Pelodiscus sinensis: one gene and its partners. The protein of the gene in region 2 purifies or fractionates together with the protein of the main gene of each other region. This does not show direct contact. Links are inferred from orthologs where the notes say so. Each region holds a gene or a part of one and is shown on either strand. Other genes may lie near its edges.

Region 1 (7,032 bases), on a different chromosome or scaffold from region 2:
GAGCGCTCGGCACCAACAGGGACAAACTCTCTGTGCAACATTCTGCACGTTTGATGGTCAAGAAGTCAGTGTGGAGACGCCAGCCTGGCAGTGGCAAGCACAGGCTGTATGAAGGTGAGAAATCGCCCTGCCCCCTCCCTGCCTTGACTCCCAGCCTAGCCCTGAGACTCCCTCCCTTTAGTGTGAAGGGGCAGAGCCTGGCAGCTGCAGGAACAGGGACCACACGAGGGCATCAGGTCAAGCAGTGAGAAACTCAACCTCAGCCCTCCCAGATCTCTAGCCGGACTGAAATTCCCACCCTGCTTTCCCCTGGCTCCCGTGGTGCGTGGAGGGAGGCCCAGGGCCAGGCTCACAAGGCAGGGGAAAGCAGGAGGCAGGAGGAGCCCCAGGGTGGAGCCCAGCTCCCGTTTCCTCTGGGCACCGTAAGCAGGAGGAGGCTGGTGCTGACAGCACCAAGGGAAGGCTTAAAAGCCACAAAGCAACCGAGGGCCGGGCAGGGCAAGAGGGAAGGACCAGGCAGACACGTGACCTGCAGACAGCCACCGAGACCACCCTCTGGCACAGCAAACGCAGAGCGAAGGCCACCCAGCGACCAGCATGCGGACGGCTGCTGACGCTCTGCGTCAGACGATGGTAGGAAGGCACCGGCTGGTGTCCTGTTGGATGCTGGTGGCTTGGACTCCCCTGCCCTCAGAGGCTGGCATATGGGGCCAGCTCTTTCTGCTGCCTCCTTTGTGTGACTTGCCCAGAGGCAGGAATGGGGCAAAGATGGAAACTCGAGCTGAGGGAGGCAGGGCAGAAGCTCAGAGCCACAGTGGGGCGAGCAGGCCCCCCCCTTTGTTCTGCCAGAGCCTGTGGGGGCAGTGGGCTGCAGGGAGACAGAGTCCCGCGCCTGTCTCAGGGCATCCCAAGGGTGGTTCTGGGCAGCCCAGGAGAAGAGGGGGGTTCTGGGTGGAAGGAAAACAAGCAAAGCTCTTTGGGCATGATCCAGTGCTCCGTTCTGGCCTAGATGGATGGGGGACGGTGGGCTTGGCAGGCTCCCTTTGTGGCTGACCCAGGGTGTGATTCATGGCTTTGGACGTGTTATTAGCTGCCCCATATTGTTATCAGACTCTCGGGTGTGTTTGTACAGCTCTTGCTTTCAGGGTCTGGCTGTGTCTGTCCGGCTGTCTGGTACAAAACCTGTGCTGTGTTTCTGGGTCACACTCGTAGACAGTTTGACAAGGCTCTGCCTCGCCTGCTTGATGGCCCATCCTGGCCCAACAGCTATTCAGTTGGCCCATGGAGAAAGCAGGGGATACAGCTTGAGGCTCAGCAGCATATGCAGGGCCAGGCCTAAGCACATGGAACTGATTGAACTTCAAAACATGGCGACTACATATTGTCCATGACTCTGAGCCTTAGTTATGTGCTAAGAAAGGCAGTACAAGCCACATGGCAAAGGAATATAAGAGGAGGCTGCAACTTAGAATCATAGAGTCCTGGACTGGAAGGGACCTCGAGAGGCCATGCAGATTGAGGTTGCTCTAAAAGATTCTTGAATGTGGTCAGTAGTTGATCCGTATGGCGTTTAGTGCACCAAATCAGTTCTAGTTCCTCCTGTTCCTGTTGTAAGTGCCATGGGTTTGATGGAGATTCAGGAGGATGCTAATCGAACTGTGTTAATCCACCCACAGTATTCAATCAAACACATAAGGTTGTGGCACACCCCTCCGTTAGGGAGCTGTGTCCTCCCTGTGCTGCCTCCCTGTACCTCTACTCCAATGAGGATGGGAGTCGTGGCTGAACGCTGCTAGCAAGAAACATAGAAGGGTCCACCATGACACAGCCACTGTCTTAGAGGGAATTGGCTCCAGATTACGAATTGCAAGTGGCCAGGAAATTTAACAGTTTAGGGCATGAATTATCAAACTTTAAGGTGCCCCTTATTTTGGCTTTATCATCTATTACAAAGGTCAGTCTAGACATTATAATTATGGTATCTTAATGACCAATGATTTGGTCCGGTTAATTCAGGCAATGGGGAAGCTTCAGAGGGTTAGTTCCAAAGCTATTTCCTGCACACAAATCTAATCATGGATGTGTAATGTTTGTTCATAAGCATTGCCTCCATGCCTGTGACACCACACAGCTTAAGAGCCTCCGTATTAGGAATTTTGTCCCACCAGTGCACGTGGGCAATTTTCCTCAGACAATGCACATGGAACTGATTGAACTTCAAAACATGGGGACGATATATTGTCCATGACTCTGAGCCTTACAGCAGGACATTCAGGACAACTTCCTGATAAACCACTATCTTGGTATGGAGTTTAATACCACTGTCATTCCATAGGCGTTTGATTAGTTTTCCAAAGGCAGCGCTGGCTTTGGCTAATTGAGCAGATACATTATGATCCACATTTCTGCCAGAGGACAGTACACTTCCCAGGTAGCAGAACTTGTCAACACCCTTAAGGACGGTACCAGCAGCAGCAATCACTGGAGTGCTGGGCTTTTTCCAGACCAGCTGAGGCAAAACTTCTGTTCTCTTGAGGCTCACTGTGAGTCCAAAATGGTGAGCAAAAGTAAAAAGCTCCTGTGCATCCTTCACTAAGTGCATCAGTGCACTTACTATTGACAAAATGGTGAACCAACTAATAAATTATATGGTATATTCCTGAGATACAGTGCTAGGAGCTGAGGCCTTGGTGTACTTGGTGCCTCTGTGTGTGATCCATGAGTAGCTCAAGGAACATGAATGGAATCTACCTAGCTGTGGGGCTCCACGTGCTGTTTTCCTGAGTGAGAGCAATACTTAGAGGGGTCACTAGCAAGGCTTGTGAGAGACAGCCCAGGCTGGAGAGTTAGTAGTACCCCTGTCCCAGGCTGCACCCTGGGATCCCCAAAGAGTTCCATGGATTGACTGTGAAAAAATAATTTATTTTGTCTGTTTTAAATCTGCTGTCTATCAATGTTTTAATTGGGTCAGCTTCTTGTGTTGTTAGCAAAAGAATAAATAACGTTTTCTTATTCTTTTTCCATGCCATTCATGATTTTCTAACATATCCTCCTCCCATCCTTTAGTCATTTCTTTTCCAAGCAGAAAAGTCCCAGTCTTGTTTCTCTCTCCTCATATGGAAGATGTTCCTTATCCCTAATCATTTCAGTTGCCTCTACTGTACCTTTTCCAAACCCAATTACACACAATTAAAAAAAGTGAACACATATGAAAAGGACAAATCACGTGTTCACTTTTTTTTTTAATTGTATCCTTTGGTATAGATGGTTGTGACAATTTTCTTCCACTATCTGATCTGAGGAAGTGGGTCTGGCCCACGAAAGCTCATCATCTAATAAACCATCTTGTTAGTCTTTAAAGTGCTACATAGTCCTGTATTTTGTTTATGCAGATCTGGTCACCCCATCTAAAAAAAAAAAGATATATTGGGTTGGAAAAGGTACAGTAGAGGCAACTGAAATGATTAGGGATAAGGAACATCTTCCATATGAGGAGAGAGAAACAAGACTGGGACTTTTCTGCTTGGAAAAGAAACCCCTTGTGCAACGCCGCTACGCCGATTATTTTCAGGACTAGCGGCGTTGGCAAGAGGGGCAGTGCAGACAATGGCGGCTCGTTGGGTATGCAAACGAGGCTCGGCGATATTCCACGCTTAGCCTCATTTGCATATCTCTGGTGCAAGATGGCGCCAGTGTGGGCATAACCTCAGGGGGACACTTCCCCCGGCGTCCCCCCTCCCCCCCAATTAATGAGACACAAATCGGGTCAATGCAATTGCAGGCTCAGGGGCGTGGCTAGTGGGGCTCAGGGGCGTGGCTAGTAGGGCTCAGGGGCGTGGCTAATATGTCCCTAACTTTGGTTCAGAGAATAGGGTCACCATAGTTACGCCCCCCCCCCCCCACGCTGTAGCACCGTGTCCAATAGGAGCGCTCCCTGAGCTACGGGCTCGCGTGAGACGGTCTTTTGGCGGGAAGAGGAGTGGCGCGGGGCATGCTGGGACTAGAAGCAGCACAGAACGCAGCCGCGGACTACAACTCCCAGCACACTTTGCCACGCCCAGCCCCTGCTGCGCCTGCGCACTGCATCTCCCGGGCGGCCGGTCTTTTAGCCAGCGCTGGGCTCTAGTCCCGCGGCCGGGCTGTGGCCGGGGCTGGACGAACCCTTGGCGGGTCCCCCGGAGCCATGTAACTTCCCTCCGAGTGCGGGTCCGGAACCGGAACCCGGGCAGGCCATGTTGCCGGAAGGAGGCCGGTGTCCGGGTTCCGGTTCCGGTGGGTCGCCATGTCGGTGCTGGCCTCCAACCCCAACAACCCCGTGGTCTTCTTCGATGTCAGCATCGGCGGCCAGGTGGGGGCGGGGCCGCGGGGAGGGCCGGGCGGGCAAGGGGCCGCGGGGGGCAGAGGGGGCTCTGGCGGCAGGGTGGGGGGCAGAGTGAGCTCGGGGAGGGGCCCCTGGCCCCGGGGGGCAAGGTGGGGGGGGGCAGAGGGGCCCTGGCCCCGGGGGGGCAGAGGGGCCCTGGCCCCGGGGGGCAGGGTGGGGGGGGCAGAGGGGCCCTGGTCCCTGGGGGCAGGGTGGGGGGGGCAGAGGGGCCCTGGCCCGGGGGGGGCAGGGTGGGGGGGGCAGAGGGGCCCTGGCCCCGGGGGGGCAGGGTGGGGGGGCAGAGGGGCCCTGGCCCTAGACATGGGCCTGGCGCTGACACTCTTTTCCCCCCTAGGAAGTTGGCCGCATGAAGGTGGAGCTGTTCGCAGATGTTGTGCCCAAAACAGCGGAGAATTTCAGGTAGCCTGTGGCACTTTGCTCCCAGTGAGGCAGCCCAATGCCTGGGGATCGGTCATGCAGCAACTGGCTGGAGGAGGCCCCGGCTCTCTGGCCCAGCAGTGGGGCAGTCCTGCCTGGCACAGTGCCCAGGGGGTCTGAGAAGCAATTTTAATGGAGGTTGTGTCCCTTTGAGACAGCCTTATGAGCTGCAGCCTGCAGTAGATTGTGCACTGTAGGGTATCAGCCCTCCTCTTTAACATGTGCTTTGATCATCAAGGAAATTAACTGCCTTGATAATTAACTTTTACTTTTAGATCCCTTAAAGGGAAGGGACAGGGTTAAGACTCTAAAAGCCAGGTCCACACTACTGGAGGTCAGCTTAAGGTACGCAATTTTAAGTTAAGTTTTTGTTTTTTTACATAGCTGGAGTTGACGTATCTTATGCCATACTTTGGCACTGTCTTCTCAGCAGAAGGTCAACAGGAGGAATGCTCCTGTCAACTTCCCTTACTCTTCACAAGAAATAGGAGTACTGCTGCCAATGGTGGCACCCTCATTGGGGTCTTTATTAGGGATGTAATAGTATAGTCGATTAACTGATAAATAAAAGCTTATAGGTTAATGCATTCCTCCCCAGCCCCCCACCAGTAAATTTTTTAGTAGGCTGGCCAGCAGCCCGGCTCAGTCCTGGCTTGCGACGGGTCTGGGATCTACCCCTGCTGTGGCTCTGCATTTAAAGTGTATTAGGAGCTGGGTGGGCAGGCATCCTGGCTCAGTTCCGGCTCACGTTGGGTCCAGGAGCTCAGACTCCACCCTCACACAGGGGCTGCTGCTACCCTGCACTGGTGCTGAGGCAGGAGTGCGCAGTGGTAGAGCGCTCCCCAGGAGTGGCGCTGGAGTGCACTGGCTGCTGACCCCACCCCTGGGGACTGTAGAATAGTAAAGTAACTGATAAGAATTCATGAGGTTAATCGACTGTTCAGTTATACTGTATTTACTAGGGATGTTAAAATACGTTTATTTATGTAAATGTATAACCGCTGAATTTTTCAGTGGTTACACATTTACATGCTAGCAGGCAGGTATCTCTGCAGGGATGGATGTAACCATGAACAGATTTACAGAATATGGGTACACATTCACATCTTTAGTTTTTACTGAATTGAACGATGGAAGATCGACGGCTGTAGCATCTAACTGTCAGGGCGATTAAACACTGGAATAAATTGCCTAGGGAGGATTTGGAATCTCTGGAGATATTTAAGAGCAAGATGGATAGATATCTATCAGGGATGATCTAGATCAGGGCTATGTTTGTTTTCAGCCTATGATGCAGTTCGGGTTTACGTGGGGCTCAACACGTGGCTCACGGGTGGGATCCTTTGAACGTGGCCTCCACTGGGAACGTGCTTCACAATGGCGAGGCGTCTCCCAGCTGGGGTGAGCATTGAAAGATGCAAGCGGACAGTCTGGCTGGAACAGATGGGTGCAGGGTGTCAGCGTGTCTAGCCCCCAGGAAGGTGGTGCCAGGAGCACCGGGGCATTGTGTGAAAGAAGCTATTTCCATATATCAGAGGGGTAACCGTGTTAGTCTGAATCTGCAAAATCCGTTAGTCTATAAGGTGCCACAGGACTCCTCGCTGTATTTGCATATATATTTGCATATTTGTGCAACCACACTTATGTTGCGCCACTTGGCATGTGCTGTATCATTGTGGCCCTCGTGGCTTCCAAAGTTGAGTAGCCCTGATCTGGATGGTGCTTGGTCCTGCTGTGAGGGCAGATAACCTCTCAAAGTCCTTTCCAGTTCTAGTATTCTGTGATTTTTATCCCACATCAGGTCTCCTGTAATGGAAATTGCCTAGCAGATGTAGTGGCCTTACTGCCGTATCTTCCCATCACCTCCTAGGCACCAAATTCCATGCTGTCTCCTTGTGAGATTCAATCTGCAGATTGAGCAAAACTCAGCTGTACTTCAGACTGGCCAGACTTTTACTAGTTCCTAGGGAAAGAATGCCTGACCCAAGCAGTTATTCCCACATGCTCAAAAAAGAGGAGGGCTCAACCATTTGCTCCTGGGGATATATGTGCGATTCAGAAACCCTGCAGCCCACTGTGTTCATGTTTGCCCCTTCCTCCCAAAGCATCTTTGCACACAATGCACCCGAGAGATGGCAGATTACTGACTTGGCCCACTGTTGGCTGACTTCTTCATACTGGGCAGCCCAGTGCCTGAACAGGAACATGTGTAACTTCGTCCATCAGAGACCTCC
Region 2 (7,657 bases):
ACGAGGGGGGAGGGAACAGGCCCCTGGCAGGTGAAGGGTACGAGGGGGGAGGGAACAGGCCCTGGCAGGTGAAGGGTACGAGGGGGGAGGGAACAGGCCCCTGGCAGGTGAAGGGTACGAGGGGGGAGGGAACAGGCCCCTGGCAGGCTGAGCAGGCCTGTGGGAGGGGGAGAACAGGCCCCTGGTGGGCAGGTGCGATACCCCCATCTTGAGCCCCTCCTCAGCCCCCATTCTCATACTCTCCACCCCTGAGTCTCCTGTCCCCCCTCCCACATGCCCAAGGCCCTGCCCTGAGGGACCCGGGCAGCACAGGGTGAGTCTGCTAGGGGAAGATAATAAGCAGGTAGGTAGTGGTCAACATGGATTTGTCAAGAACAAACCAACCTTATGTTCCTTCTTTGACAAAGCAACAAGCCTTTGAGGACAGGGAGAAGCATTAGATGTGACAAGTCTCCTGATACGGTCTCACCTGCCTTCTCCTCAACAAACTAGAGGAACGCAGCCTAAACGCACCTGCTGTAAGAGGGATGCACAAGGCATTATAAAAGCAACTGAGAGTAGTCACAGCCAAGCTGGAAGGGCAGATTGAGTGGGGTCTCAGGGATCTGTCCTGGGGCTGGTTCTGTTCAATTTCTTCAGAAATCATTTGGATAATAGGGATGTCAAAACCCCATTCAATTGGTTAAACACATTGTTTGCCCAGTTAACCAATTAATGGGGGGAGTATGTGGGGGAGCAGTCAAGCCTGACCGAGCTGGAGTGGCCCCCCCATTTCAGGAAGGGGTTGCTTCAGCCCAGCCAGAGCAGCCCCTGCCTGAAGGACGCCCAGGCCCGCCACGACAGGTTAGTCTCTAAGGTGCCACTGGACCACTCGTTATTAAATCAACAATGTAATTCTTCTGCAAAGAAGGAAGCATAATTCTTGGATAAATTACCAGAATGCTGAAAGCAAGACACAAAAAATAATTCTTCCACTCTAGTCAGCCTGATAAGGCCGCAACTGGAGTTTTTTGTTCAGTATTGAGCACTTCCCTTCAGGAAAGATGTGGAGAAACTCTAGAGGAGAGGAACAAAATTATTGAAAGTCTAGAAAACACGGCTTACAAGGAAAGACAGAAAATAATGGGATTGTTAGTCTGGAGAAGACAGAAGGGGGACATAATAGCCCTAAAGTACGTAAAAGGTTGTTTAAAAGACAAGGGTTTAAAGAGTAGGTTGTTTTAAGAGGATAAATTGTTCTCCCTAACCACTAAAAAAACACATTTTTTAAAAGGGCTTATTGTACTAGATGACACATCAAGGCACCCTCCAGTCCTACATTTCCATGATTCTGTGATCAATATGAAACTTTTATCCTAACGAAAGAATGTTCGATTGTTACATTCCCAAGACTGTGACTCGCAAAGAAACCAAAATCCTGCAAACCTGAACTCTTCATAGGATGCCACCTTCTGGTGAACGGCTCGGAACTTGGCATCATTTTCTCTTTGGTACTTTTCATCAGCAGCAACAGCAGCCTGCAGCTCTCTCTCTAATGCACAAAAATCTATTGCTTCAGCCTCCTCCATTCCAAAGATCTAAGAGCAAAACATAAAAACCACAAGAGTGACTTTAGTGCATAAGCATCACACAAAGAGAATACAGTACTCCTTTCTCTTTCACAGCCACCCATTTCATCCCCAGAATTCTTGCTAGACTTACTGTAAGTAACTACTAGAGTGTGTCATGTGCTAATGATCCCACCTCAGTCAAGCAAACTCCTGTCTTAAATAACCACTTGAAAGGATGCCCAAGTCTCCAGTGCAATTTTTAATCTGTTGTTAAAGACCAACCTCTACTACACAAAGTGGTTTTGTTCTGGAGTCACAGTTTGTCACATAAAACAGGTGTTATTGTGTATTGCTTGATCATCACACTCCCTGAACATTAACTGAAGGCTGCTGTCACACAAACTTTGCTAAAATCCCCCACTAAGAATGTGGTGGTTAATAAAGTCTCAGGGGGCAACTGTGTTCATCTGTATCTGTGAAAACTAGAACTCCTCCTGTGAGCACCTTGAAGACCAACAGATTTATGTGGGCATAAGCAGCCCAAAGAAATCTGTTAGTCTTTAAGGCGCCAGAGGACTCCTAATTGTTTTTCAGTTAATAAAGCCTAAAAGTTTACAAATCGGCAATAGGCATGTGGGGAGAGTGTAAAATATTCAAGGTCAGATTCAGATGCCAGTAAATAGAAAGCCCTATGTGCCAGGCAGGAACCTTTCCTCTTGCTGAGTAGCACAATACTCTGCAAATCTCCTGTTTCATGGCAATACTCCTGGAGTGAGGCCCTTCCCAAAGTACACAAGAGGGTAAGGATGTTAAATACTGGTTAATTTACTAGTCGAGTAGTCGATCGGCACTTCCGCATTCCTCCTTTGAAATGTAGAAGAGCCCCTGCACTTCCGCATTCCCCAGTGGAGGCTCTTGTACATTTCAAAGGGGGAATTCGGAACTCTGCGTGCAGCCCAGGGCCAGCGGGAAGTCCTGCTGACTCCGGATTGCGTGCAGGCGCTTCTGCATCGAAATGCACAAGAGCAAAAGGGGGAGGGGAGGGCAGCTTTGAACTGTACAAGAATCCTCAGCAGTGGCTCTTGTGCATGTCAAAGCAGAAATGCCTGCACAGAGCCTGGGGTCAGCAGGGGACTCAGGGTTACTTTGAAATGCTGCACGGAGATGGGGTCAGCTGAGGACTTTCCAGCTGATCCCGAGCTCTGCGTGGCATTTCCAAGTAATCCAGGATCAGCTGGGGACTCCCCAGTGGACCCCAGGCTCCGCGTGCTTTGAAATGCTGCATGCGGAGCCCAGGATCAGCTGGAAAGTCCCCAGCTGATCCCGGGTGCCAAGGAAATGCTGCGCGGCGCCTGGGTCAGCTCTGGACTCCCCAGCTGATCCTGGGCTCCGCGTGGCATTTCAAAGCGGCAGCGCCACGTTTTGTTTATCGAATAGTTGACTAGTCCTTAACATCCTCACAAGGGGGTGCAGCGTGGCACCCAGGGTTTAAGTTCAGGGTGCTGAAGGAAGAGCTGGTGTAGCTGGAAAGCTTGTCTCCTGCAGCAGCAATGGGGGGTCCAATAGACAAACTTTCAAGCCACATGGAGCACTGGGAGGAGGGGGCAGGGGGTGGCAAGCTGAGCATCTGCTCCCTGTGTCTGGCATCCCTCACGATCCCCTCCAGGCCCCCCAGCCTCCCCCCATCGCCCCCTCCAGGCCCCCCAGCCTCCCCCCACATCACCCCAGCCTCCCCCCATCGCCCCCTCCAGGCCCCCCAGCCTCCCCCCACATCACCCCAGCCTCCCCCCATCGCCCCCTCCAGGCCCCCCAGCCTCCCCCCACATCACCCCAGCCTCCCCCCACATCACCCCAGCCTCCCCCCATCGCCCCCTCCAGGCCCCCCAGCCTCCCCCCACATCACCCCAGCCTTCCCCCATCACCCCCTCCAGGCCCCCCAGCCTCCCCCCACATCACCCCAGCCTCCCCCCATCGCCCCCTCCAGGCCCCCCAGCCTCCCCCCACATCACCCCAGCCTTCCCCCATCACCCCCTCCAGGCCCCCCAGCCTCCCCCCATCGCCCCCTCCAGGCCCCCCAGCCTCCCCCCACATCACCCCAGCCTCCCCCCACCGCCCCCTCCAGGCCCCCCAGCCTCCCCCCACATCACCCCAGCCTTCCCCCATCGCCCCCTCCAGGCCCCCCACCCTCCCCCCACATCACCCCAGCCTCCCCCCATCGCCCCCTCCAGGCCCCCCAGCCTCCTCCCACATCACCCCAGCCTCCCCCCACTGCCCCCTCCAGGCCCCCCAGCCTCCCCCCACATCACCCCAGCCTTCCCCCCATCGCCCCCTCCAGGCCCCCCAGCCTCCCCCCACCGCCTCCTCCAGGCCCCCCAGCCTCCCCCCACATCACCCCAGCCTCCCCCCATCGCCCCCTCCAGGCCCCCCAGCCTCCTCCCACATCACCCCAGCCTCCCCCCATCGCCCCCTCCAGGCCCCCCAGCCTCCTCCCACATCACCCCAGCCTCCCCCCACCGCCCCCTCCAGGCCCCCCAGCCTCCCCCCACATCACCCCAGCCTTCCCCCCACCGCCCCCTCCAGGCCCCCCAGCCTCCCCCCACATCACCCCAGCCTTCCCCCCACCGCCCCCTCCAGGCCCCCCAGCCTCCCCCCACATCACCCCAGCCTCCCCCCACCGCCCCCTCCAGGCCCCCCAGCCTGCCCCCACATCACCCCAGCCTCCCCCCACCGCCCCCTCCAGGCCCCCCAGCCTCCCCCCACATCACCCCAGCCTCCCCCCATCGCCCCCTCCAGGCCCCCCCGCCTCCCCCCATCGCCCTGCAGAGGCGCCCAGCGCCGCTTGCCGCGGGGGGCCCGTTAGCCGCTCGCTGGGGAGGGGGGGGGGGGGGTTGGGATCGATCCCCCTTCCCGCGCCTCGCCACGGCCCACGCCGCAGCCCGGCTTCCTGGCGGTCTCCATAGCAACGAGCGGCGCGGCGCCGAGGCCCCCGGCTAGGGCTGTCCGTGCCACGCGCCTGATCAGATCCGGCTCCGCCGAAACGGCCCCGGCCCCGCGGAGCCAGCCGGACCCAGGCCTGCGACCCCCCCGCCCCGCCCCACCCCGACCTCGGCCTCGGCGCGGGCTGCAGCGGGAATCCCAGCGGCCCGTTGGGCAGGCGAGGGGCCAGCCCCGGGTCCTTCCGCGCTGGTGTCGCAGCGGCTGCCGGGAGGGAGCGGAAGGCGCGGAGCGCGAGGCGAGGAGCAGGGGCGGCCGGAGGCGGCGGCGGGTGAGTGGGGCCGGCCGGGGGGGACTAGGGGGCTCTGGAGGGGGCGGGGCGCTGGGGGGCCCTGGGGCGGGTGACGGGCGGGCCGGGGGGGCGCTGGGGGGTGGGGGCGCTCTGGAGGGGGCGGGGCGCTGGGGGGCCCTGGGGCGGGTGACGGGCGGGCCGGGGGGCGCTGGGGGGTGGGGGCGCTCTGGAGGGGGCGGGGCGCTGGGGGCCCTGGGGCGGGTGACGGGCGGGCCGGGGGGCGCTGGGGGGTGGGGGCGCTCTGGAGGGGGCGGGGCGCTGGGGGCCCTGGGGCGGGTGACGGGCGGGCCGGGGGGCGCTGGGGGGTGGGGGCGCTCTGGAGGGGGCGGGGCGCTGGGGGCCCTGGGGCGGGTGACGGGCGGGCCGGGGGGCGCTGGGGGGTGGGGGCGCTCTGGAGGGGGCGGGGCGCTGGGGGCCCTGGGGCGGGTGACGGGCGGGCCGGGGGGCGCTGGGGGGTGGGGGCGCTCTGGAGGGGGCGGGGCGCTGGGGGCCCTGGGGCGGGTGACGGGCGGGCCGGGGGGGCGCTGGGGGGTGGGGGCGCTCTGGAGGGGGCGGGGCGCTGGGGGCCCTGGGGCGGGTGACGGGCTGGGAGAGGGGGTCTCGTGGGGATGGGGTGGCCGCGGTGCATTGTGGGATGGGCACTGATTGCTCAGGAGGGGGCTCGGAGGGAGGTGACGTGGGCGGGGTGTTGGGCGGGCTGGGGGGGAGTAGGGGCGCACTGGGCAGTTGTCAGATGTTTCATAAATAATTCAACTGGCAAGGGTGGGGGTCGGGGGCAGGACTCCGCTTCGTCCCTGGTGCCGGGAAACCGTTGCCCCAAGGAGTCTCGTTACACGTGACTTTCTCTCTCACGGTAGCATCATGGACACAGACTTGTATGACGAGTTCGGGAATTATATCGGGCCAGAGCTCGACTCGGATGACGACGACGATGAACTGGGTAGAGAGTCCAAGGATCTTGATGAGGTGCAGTGAAACTTGTGCAAAAAGCCTTCGTTTATCATAAATGGCACCAAAATAATGTAAAACTGAAATGAAAGTTATTCTGGTCTTAGTTGTCCTCCTCCCGTTCTCCTGAAGTTTAATCAAGACTGTAGTTATCCACAGACATCTGATGCAAGCTGAAAAGTAATTACAAGTTGGACCTCTCTGGTCCGGCACCCTTGTGACCTGACCCGTCCCTCATCCCTGACAATGAGGGATTGTGCCGGACCAGGGGAGGTCATTTCTGGCCCCCCAGCCCTGACCTGGCTGATGACCTCCCAGCCTGCTCACCCCTTGCCGTTGGCATCGTTACCCTGTCAGCCCCACTGTGCTTCCAGGCCCAATTGGGCAGCCCGACTGTCAGCCCACAGGGCTTTAGGCTGCCAGCTCTTCATTGGAACTCTGGTCTTGGAACATCTGTGGTGTGATGTTGCCAGACCAAAGTCCCGATTTAGAGAGGTTCAGCCTGTATTTCTTCTGAGTCAGTGTCTCCTGGCCCCAGAAAATGTAAGTAAGTGAGAGAGAAAGAACCCAACACCAAGCTTACTTAGAGTTTTGAAGGAAAATGTTTATGTACTATTAAATATTCTGATTTAATAGATTTACAAAAACAAAGTATATAAAAATATAATAAAAATAAAAAATCTACTAGGCTGCCCTGTTGATAGCCAGAAAAAGACAAGGAATTTTGTCTTGAACGTGGGACAAAATAAGAAACTTACTCTGTTTTAAGTGAGTTTCCCCTTTACTGGGCACATTCAAATAGGATTTTCATGTTTTAAGCAAGAGCTGTAGACTATCGCTCATTTTTACTGATACTTTCTGGTGTCTCCAAGTAAGAGAAGTTAGCCCCAAGACATGACATGTTCATCATATGGTTTAAAGCACGTCTGGGAGGCATTCAGAGTCTGGTGGTGAGCTTGGTGTAAGAACATTTAGAGAAGCGAGGAATGTGAATGGTATTTATGAAAAAAGAAACAGTGGTATGTTTAGCAGTGGTGTTGAAAATTTCTTTTTCACTGAATTTTTGGTAGATCTTCAATGATCTAAGAAATTGGAACTAATCACTGCTATTCTTTTAAAGCAGGGGTGTGGAACCTGAGGCCTGGGGGCCGGATGTGGCCCCTGGCTTTCCTAGATCCAGCCTCCGAGGCTTGGGGTCCCCCTCAGGGTTGGGGTCCCCACGCTAGTGCTCCAGCCCCTTCACTATTCCTCCATGGGGCTGGAGTGCACAAAACTGAACTACTACATCTACTAGCCTGGGCCCCCAAAGTTCTGGCGTGCAAGGGGAATGTCTTTCTCATTCTCAGTTGAGCCACATCAGTGAGGATTGGTTTGGTTTGGTTTGTTTGTCAGGGGCCCCTATCCAAAAAAGGTTCCTCACCTCTGCTTTAAAGAAATAGAATTCCTTATGGTGTGAGTATTTATATGTACATGTAAAATAGTCATTATTGTACTGGTGAAATCACAGCTCCCACACAACTGGGATTTGGGGGTTTCATGCACAGGGTTTGGTAGCTTCACTTTGATGTGGTGTGTCCATGGGTATGTTGTGTACTGGGTATTACTATCGATTGCCTGCCGTGTAAGCATCACTTGCATATGGCGTTGGGATCTGTTTTAAAGATGACCTGCTGCTCATTGTGGCTATCTGAAATGGATTCCAGGTGGGAAAATGGCCTCCAAACTGAAAAATGGGAAGCCCCTCACAACCTTTTTCTGGACCTGACTTTGAAAGGTGCCTGATACAGAAAGACTGGGGCCTGCACTGCAGTTGGATATGATCTAGATCAGGGCTACTCAACTTTGGAAGCCCCGGGGACCGCAGTGATACTCC
Region 3 (7,639 bases), on a different chromosome or scaffold from region 2:
TGATGCAGCTGCATCAGTAGCTAAAATCCCAGCATAAACCTAGGTTCTATTTTCAGTTCTGACTTGCTGTGTGACCTTGACCAAGTTATTTAAAGCCACGTTTTTGAAAGTGCTCTCTTATTTGAGGTTTTTTTTCTTTTTTTTCTTTTTTGCAGGGAAGTGCCCAGATTGAGACACCTGGACCTACTTTTCAGAATGCTGAGCACCCACAATCCTCCTGGACTTCAGCTGGAGTTTGGCGTTTACAGCACTCTTGAAAATTAGGCCCAAGGTTTCTCACGTTGTGCACTTCAAAATAGAGGCACTCAGATGTACAGGTTTTACCTCCAAAAACTGGCACTCTCTGGTCTGGCAACATCTGTGGTCCAGCAGATGTTTATGAACCAGAGAGCCCAGAAGCCTCAGGACAGGAGTGCCAGCCCGGCTGGGGACAGCGCAGGACTGAGTTCAGAGCCCTGTGGCAGCTTCCAGCAGTCCGTGGCAGTGTGGGGTTAGGGCCCAAGTCCCACAGCAACGCAGAGTGGAGTCTCTTGGCAGCCCCTTAGAGCATGTAGCTGGGGCTCCACAGCACGCTCCTGGGAGCATGAGGTTGAAGTCAGAGCCCCACAGCAGCCTCCTGGAGCAAGGGGCAGGGACCAGGAGCCAGACCCTGTGCCTTCCAGGGAGCCAGCAGCAGCTGGGTGAGCAACCCAACCAGGTTGGGAGAGGGGGGATGAGGCAGGGTGCCTGCTGGGACAGCCTGCCAGCAGCAGGCAATAGGCTTGGGAGCCAGTGGCAGGAAACCCCCCCTTAGTCCAGGAAATCCTCTCATTCAGGACTGGTCAGGTCCCAATGGTTCTGGGACCATTAGTTTCTCTGATTTAGTTCTTCTAGGTTCAAAATAGGGATATTATGCCCTTCCACAGCATTTTCCACCTAAGGGGGAAATATTAGACATTGTACTTGGAAGGGACACTGTCCTTAAATAGAGGTACCAAATTTAGGCTTAGGAATTGATAAAAAAATTCATATAAAACCTAATGTAAAAAGAATCTTTAGATAAACATTTCCCTGCAGTGTTGTGAATGTCACAGCAATAGGTGTTACTGCATGAGAAACAGAATGTGAAATTGACTAGGGGGGAAAAAAAATGAAGTGAAACTGACTAACTCAATTTCAGCCATAAAGCGAGGGAACCATTCTAGGGACACTGATTCAATGAAATGGTTTCCTTGTATTTGTAACATTTCAGCATCGTAATGGAGCCATCTTGTTGCACCACATACATACCATGCAAGAGTAGTTTTTCCAGAGCATTCTGGGATCCCTGAAATGCCTATTTCATAATGCCCAGTACTGTACTACTGCTGATAGATAGCAGGACCTATGGTGTAGTTTCCAAATATGAGGCTCTGCACTGGGAGATGGAGTTAGGAAGAGTGGCTGTGTCAGCTCATGTTAGGGAGAATCATTTTTATAGGTTAGCAGTAAAGAGCTTGTGACTCAGAAGAGTTTGGATTTTAACCAGTAGAAGGCAGTGTTAATACACACGCATCACCCAGTTCATTACCAAACTACTGAATGTATTTCACAATGTGCAATGCATTTGAAGAGATTCATGACAAATAGCTGAAGATATAATTTTCCCCTCATAATATGATTTAAAAATGTTTGGTTTCATTCCTTTCCTGTTATGTATCCTCTTTCTTTCCATATAGACTCTTGACTCCAATAATAATGGCAACTATGACAGCAAATGCAAGCTTTCGTGTAATAAAGCAAGCCAATATCAGCTACTATTCCCTAACTAGTAATTACCCATGATTGCTCCAAACCTCTCCCTTCCCAGGTGCAACTCAGTAATTAAAACTAGCCTTTGGAAGTTCCAACTCACAATGACATCTGCTAGTTCTGCTGTATTTTGCTTCTGCCCCTACATATAAAACTGTGAATTATTGCAGTGATTTATCAAGGCGGAAAACAAGGAGTGCTTTTGAAAGCACTGTGCTCATTTAGTTTCAAAGCATAATAGGTATGGATATTTCTGAGCAGGTTATTCTAATAATGAATGATGGCAGTTATGTATGTGATTGTTCATCTTTTGTCCAACTCTTTTCTTCTGGTGACAAGCTCACAAGACTAGCTCTGATATGGAATCCAGGAAACCCTGTTAGGGATCTCTAAGCATTATTTTAATGGACGTTGGCAATAGGTACTTGCAGCTTTGACAAATCCAAGCATTCAAAAAATCATGGGTCAGACTCTCCCAGCCCCCTCAAAATTATAAGATTTAATTTTTAAACAAGAAATGCTGGGTTATTTCTCTTTGGCATCTGGTTTCTGTGCTTTTAAGATGCACTTACTTCTCCCTTACAAGCTTTTCACTACAACCACGAGGGTTGGAGCCTTACTTTTTCTTTTAAAACAAAGTTGAGATTCTCATGCAGTCTTTTGATTCTAGTAGCCCAGGCTTTAAGAAAATACACCCAGGCTGAGTCTAGACTGGCAAGTTTTTCCGCAAAAACAAGTGCTTTTGCGGAAAAACTTGCCAGCTGTCTACACTGGCCGCTTGAGTTTCCGCAAGAACACTGACGATCTCATGTAAGATTGTCAGTGTTTTTGAGGAAATGCTATGCTGCTCCCGTTCAGGCAAAAGCCCTCTTGCGCAAATGCTTTTGCACAAGAGGGCCAGTGTAGACAACGCGGTATTGTTTTGCGCAAAAAAGCCCCGATGGCGAAAATGGTGATCAGGGCTTTCTTGCGCAAAACCACATCTAGATTGGCAAGGATGCTTTTCCACAAAAAGTGCTTTTGTGGAAAAGCGTCCATGCCGATCTAGACGCTCTTTTCTGCAAATGCTTTTAACGGAAAAACTTTTCCATTAAAAGCATTTGCGGAAAATCATGCCAGTCTAGATGTAGCCCAAAAGTTCTGAGACTTACAGTATAATCAGGAAAGGAGGCAGTTTTATACATATGTATTGTCTCACACGCTTTTTTGCACTATGGAAGCAGGTCAAAGATCTGGATCTGTCGTTTTTTAAATCTAGATTGGATAGAACTTGAGTACTGTGTTCTATCTCATACAATAGATAGAACACAATACTTGTTGCTAAGGCTTTGCTAGAAGATAAACCTTGTCTCAGGCTCCTTTAAAACCTTTGTGTTGATCTTCTTGCAGTGGTGGTTTTTTGTTTTCTTTTTTAAACTTAAAAAACAACGAATAGTCTAGTCACTTTAAAGACTAACAAGACAACGTGAGTTTTGCCCACGAAAGCTCATGATACCATCTACATGTTTGGTTAGTCTTTAAGTTGCTACTAGACTATTCATTGTTTTTTATGTTTTTTGAGTTACAGACTAAGTTGGCTGTAACTAACCAACTTGACTAACCCTAACCCCCCCTCTGATTTTGAGGGGGAGGGTGTTTGTGTGAGAACATACCTTGGTGCTAGTTTGAGCGACATCACAGAATGCATTAGTTGGTGGTTGGTCCAGCAGTCACCAGCATCGATCATAGCACAAATAATACATACATCAATATGGTCCTGAGACTGGACGATGACATAATCAAGCAAGTGCCAGTGTCCCGATCGTGGGTATCACCAGGAGAACTTGAAAAAATTCTTCTGCCAGAACAGGGTGTTCATTATAACACCCTGTGTTCGTCTTGTTATAACGAACAATCTTAAATAAAGCATAACACAGCAGCAAGCAAAGACAAACAGCTGAAGTGGTGGGCTAGGCGTGATACAAACACTCAATTAGTCACAGTCCCTGTCCCAGAGAGTTTACAATCTAATTTATAAACTATGACTTTGAAAATGAGCAATTAAAATTACACTTGAACCCTTCCTGTGCCAGGGAATAGGCACATTGGGAGGGAAAGTTGTGGGATGGGAGATTCCCTGGGCTTCCTTAGGGGATGCAACCCTATATACTCTCATCCACTTCTTGCTATTGTCTCAGCCTGCTTGAAGGGCTCTAATATATTGTCCATCCTGATCTCCCAGCAGATGTGCACCCCTGTACTGGGAGCACCCAGCATCGCTCCAACAGCTGTTTGATCCCTGTTCTGTGTACTGGGGTCAGAGGCAGCTGAGGAGAGCTGTATAGGAAGCAGGTCAGAAAATAAAGCTGTGGCTGCTCTCCAGCTTTGATACCTTGCTCCTCTGCCCTTCTAGTGCAACCCTTTAGTTGTAGCTGACAGTCAGCAATTGGTGATGCTTGCAAAGAAAGGGGCGGGGCTTCAGATGCAAATAAAGCCTCCCTGCAGGAGAGTTTTTGCGCATGAGCGTTACGTGCGCCTTGGGACAGGCTTTCATCCTATCCGCCGTGGGAGGTCCGGAGCATTCCCTCCGAGGAGGCGTGGTCGGATATGCAAATCAAAGAGGGACTTCTTGACTAATGGGGCGGGACCGGATATGTAAATTTCCCGGCGTTCTGAAAGGAGGGAAAAGAGCAGAGTACGCAAATAGCTAACCGGCGTTTTTCGTAAATGGCAGAGAGGGGGGAAAAGGGGCGTGGCTCTCCATACAAATCTAACCTAGAGTTCTGAGAGCAGGGCGGAGGAGGCGTGGTCGAGCAATGCAAATACTGGAATTCACTCCTCTGTTCCACCTCCCCGTCCCAGCCCCTCCTCTGGGTTAAAAGCAGCGGCGCCTGCGCAGTGAGGGGAAATGAGGACTTAGTCTGTTACACAACTGGCTGCCGAGCTGAGTGAGGGGGTTGCAATCTCCCTTCGGCCACAGACTCCGCTGCTCCCAGGCGCCTCTGCTCCTGTGTAGGCCTCCCCACCAGCCGGCATGAGCGGGGACCAGCTGCACAACGACTCCCAGGTGAGGGACCCGTGCGCCCCCCTATGCCCCAGACATTTGGGGCCCTCCAGCCCCCCAATAATCCCTCAGGCAGTGGAGATGCCCCGGATCCCCCTTGTATCCTGTGGGGCCACGGGGTGCCCCGTCCTCCGTATCACCTTAGTGGGAGAACCCCTCCCCCACCGAGAGCTCTGGATCCCTTCTCCCCTTGGTTCCCCCTCCCCATTTGCCCTCGGACACTCAGGGTGGGATGCCTTGATCCCTGCCCTGGGGCACCTCCGGCCTCTCTGTGATTGGCGATTTCCCTATAAAGGGTCTGTAACTCCCCCCGCCCCGCATGAAAATCCCAGCCAAGCCACATAGTGGGGGAAGGGATTTTTTTTACCCTGTCTTCCCTTTAAAAGCGCGCTCCAGAGAGGGTGGGAAGCTTCCCCCTTTACATGGGGGGGGGGGGGAAGGGTGTCGGGTTGAAGGGAGACCCGGAGAATGGGTGCAGAAGCATGAGGGGGGGGGACTCGAAATAGGTGGGGGGAAGGTTGAAACTTTGGGGCGCTAGGGAGTCTGAATTTCGCCCCCTGCCCTTGGGATGGGGGATACGCGTCTCGATACCAATCGGGGGCTGCTGAGTCGATTTCCTCCTCCTTCGCCTAAAACTGTCCCTGGATCGGGCTCCTGCTGGTTTTGAAAATATCCGTATTCTGGTGTGTGTGTGGTTTTTTTTACTCGCTTCCCCTTGTCCTTACAGATCGAGGCGGATTTCCGAGCGAACGGTGAGTGTGTGCCCCCCACCCCCGTCTTTTGGGGGCGATTTACCCCACTTTGCCTCCGCTTTCGCTCCCCCCTTCTGTGTTCCTGAGGATGGTAAAGGACAGACATGGCGTCCCAGAGACTAAGTCCCGTCTCCTCGCTCACCGGCCCCATTGTTCCCATCGAGCTGCTAAATGCTCCCGCTTCCGAGGGGCTTAGGTCCTACCTGACCCCCTCTTCCCCTAGTGGGGGCAACGCAGGCCCCAGATCCGACCCCTCCGGGGTCCCTGGAGTCCCCTTTGGGCCCCGATTCCTCCCTAGAAAGTCGCCTTATCGACGGTCGGGACTTAGTCTCTGCGCCATTTTCTTTTTCTCTCTCCTCTCTCTTCTGTGTGTGTCTCTTTCTCTCCTTCTCCTCCTCCCCTGACTGCTGAGCAAGAGCCTCCTTCCGAGAAACACGGGAGAAATCGCCACTTCCCGACCCCCATACCCTCCCAGAGAGGGGGAAGGCAAAGTGTTTTTTTTTTTTTTTTTTTTTTTTAGGTTTAATAAATCACCAAGCTGCTTTTATTCAACCCTCTCCTGCTCAGTTTTGTTTCTTTCAGTCAATCCCTCTCATCCTCTAAAATGAAAGGTGGTTGCAACATGTTGCTCTTTAAAAGATTCTGCTGCATCCATTTTAAAATCAATCTTATTTCTTTCTGTGCTGTTTAATTGATTTAACTTTACCTTGTTAGGTAGAGAATTTTAATTGTGGTTTTTTTTAACATTTTTTTTTAAAAAGCAGTGTAAGCAATTCCAGAACAGTAGACAGCATCACTTCAGAAAGTTTGCAAGTTGGCTGTTCATTTTTGGGGAATAGGTTGTAGGAGCCCTGTAGGTGATTGCATTTTAGGAAGAGGATGATTACTAATTTTTACATACTGTTAGATGGCATATTGGTTTCATTTTTTTCCAGAGCTGGTGGGTGGTATACTTAAAGGTGGGGGGAGGGGTAGTTTACAGCTTGCTTCTGCATGCATATGTCACTGTCAAGCCACTGGCTTTATGTGAAGAACTCTGTCCCCTAAGCAATGGGGGTGGAAGGCTGGGGGAGGGGGGGGGGAGGATGATGTGCTTGTTACCTGGCCTGAAATATGTAAAAGTGTTTTGAGTTCACTCCACTTATTTATAAATGTGGTTTCATCTTGCCTCCCAGTCCCATTGCAAATACTGTTTTTTGAATACTACAATCTTGATGTTTGTAATCATTGCAGTAGCGTTCTGGACAATATGTTTGATGCCTACTTGCTTGGCTAAATGCTATAAAATATTTGTGAATATTTACATGTTATATTTGTGTATGCACATCATTGGTACTTGTGCATATCAATGCATTTTATAGATAATATATATGAATGTACATTTGTGTAACAGTAGTGTGTGTATATGTACAAATATACTATTTATAAACATTCTTTCCCCTACAAAATAATGCTAAGTAAATCATTATTTAAAGGGGGAAGGGAAGAGCCTTCTTTCCCTGGAACTGCAATAAGCATTTTTAGAATTCAGTATAAATTTGTCTATAAATATTTGTAACCTCTTTGTGCTGGAAATATTTGCTTAAAGGTTAGTTTTGCTAGTGGGAAAAAAACTTGCTGATTTTAGATGTGGAATAATTGACTCCTCCAGTCCTGCTTCCAGTGGACAGTCTTAACAGGGTTTTCCCCCCAGATATTAAGGCTAGCTGTACATTGTTTTTATTGTTCCCAATAAGGAGTGGTTTAGGAAAATAGACATTTAATACCTCTTTGACTTTGTGGGTTTTTCTTGTCTTTTCGCAACTGCTGATGGGATTCTAGTACACACATCTCAAGCAATATCTGGAGAATCAGATGTGCCTGAAATTCATCAGTCACATGAAGGTGTCATAGAACTCTTCCTCCCCATCTTGATTCCAAGTTTTCCTTTGACTATCATCATTGTCGTTTGTCTTAGGCAACAGAAAGGCAAAGTCCTCTTCTTTGCTCAGTGCTTCATTTGCTAGTCTTTTTTAAGGAGTAGTGCTGTTGATAGTTCATGTCCTTTCTGACCTTGCTACCAAAGCTGAACCTA

What was found. The genes of interacting proteins can lie anywhere in the genome.
Region 1: the proteins of EFTUD2 (region 2) and PPIH purify together in Homo sapiens (affinity purification with mass spectrometry; 3 studies listed by BioGRID and IntAct, with this or other methods). This does not show direct contact. The link is inferred for Pelodiscus sinensis from reciprocal best matches to the Homo sapiens genes EFTUD2 and PPIH.
Region 3: the proteins of EFTUD2 (region 2) and TOP1 purify together in Homo sapiens (affinity purification with mass spectrometry; 3 studies listed by BioGRID and IntAct, with this or other methods). This does not show direct contact. The link is inferred for Pelodiscus sinensis from reciprocal best matches to the Homo sapiens genes EFTUD2 and TOP1.

What each region holds. Positions count from the first base shown.
Region 1 is NC_134733.1:3,182,959-3,189,990, reverse strand, and holds the start of PPIH (peptidyl-prolyl cis-trans isomerase H), read left to right. Parts: upstream 1-4,031; 5' UTR 4,032-4,282; coding exon 4,283-4,348; intron 4,349-4,715; coding exon 4,716-4,780; intron 4,781-7,032. UniProt on the Homo sapiens protein: PPIase that catalyzes the cis-trans isomerization of proline imidic peptide bonds in oligopeptides and may therefore assist protein folding. Participates in pre-mRNA splicing.
Region 2 is NC_134739.1:148,899-156,555, reverse strand, and holds the start of EFTUD2 (116 kDa U5 small nuclear ribonucleoprotein component), read left to right. Parts: upstream 1-4,656; 5' UTR 4,657-4,815; intron 4,816-5,693; 5' UTR 5,694-5,697; coding exon 5,698-5,802; intron 5,803-7,657. Other genes in the region: DNAAF19 (Ig-like V-type domain-containing protein FAM187A), read right to left, coding at 1,426-1,579, 3,009-3,177. UniProt on the Homo sapiens protein: Required for pre-mRNA splicing as component of the spliceosome, including pre-catalytic, catalytic and post-catalytic spliceosomal complexes. Component of the U5 snRNP and the U4/U6-U5 tri-snRNP complex, a building block of the spliceosome.
Region 3 is NC_134728.1:25,119,776-25,127,414, reverse strand, and holds the start of TOP1 (DNA topoisomerase 1), read left to right. Parts: upstream 1-4,638; 5' UTR 4,639-4,783; coding exon 4,784-4,816; intron 4,817-5,540; coding exon 5,541-5,565; intron 5,566-7,639. UniProt on the Homo sapiens protein: Releases the supercoiling and torsional tension of DNA introduced during the DNA replication and transcription by transiently cleaving and rejoining one strand of the DNA duplex.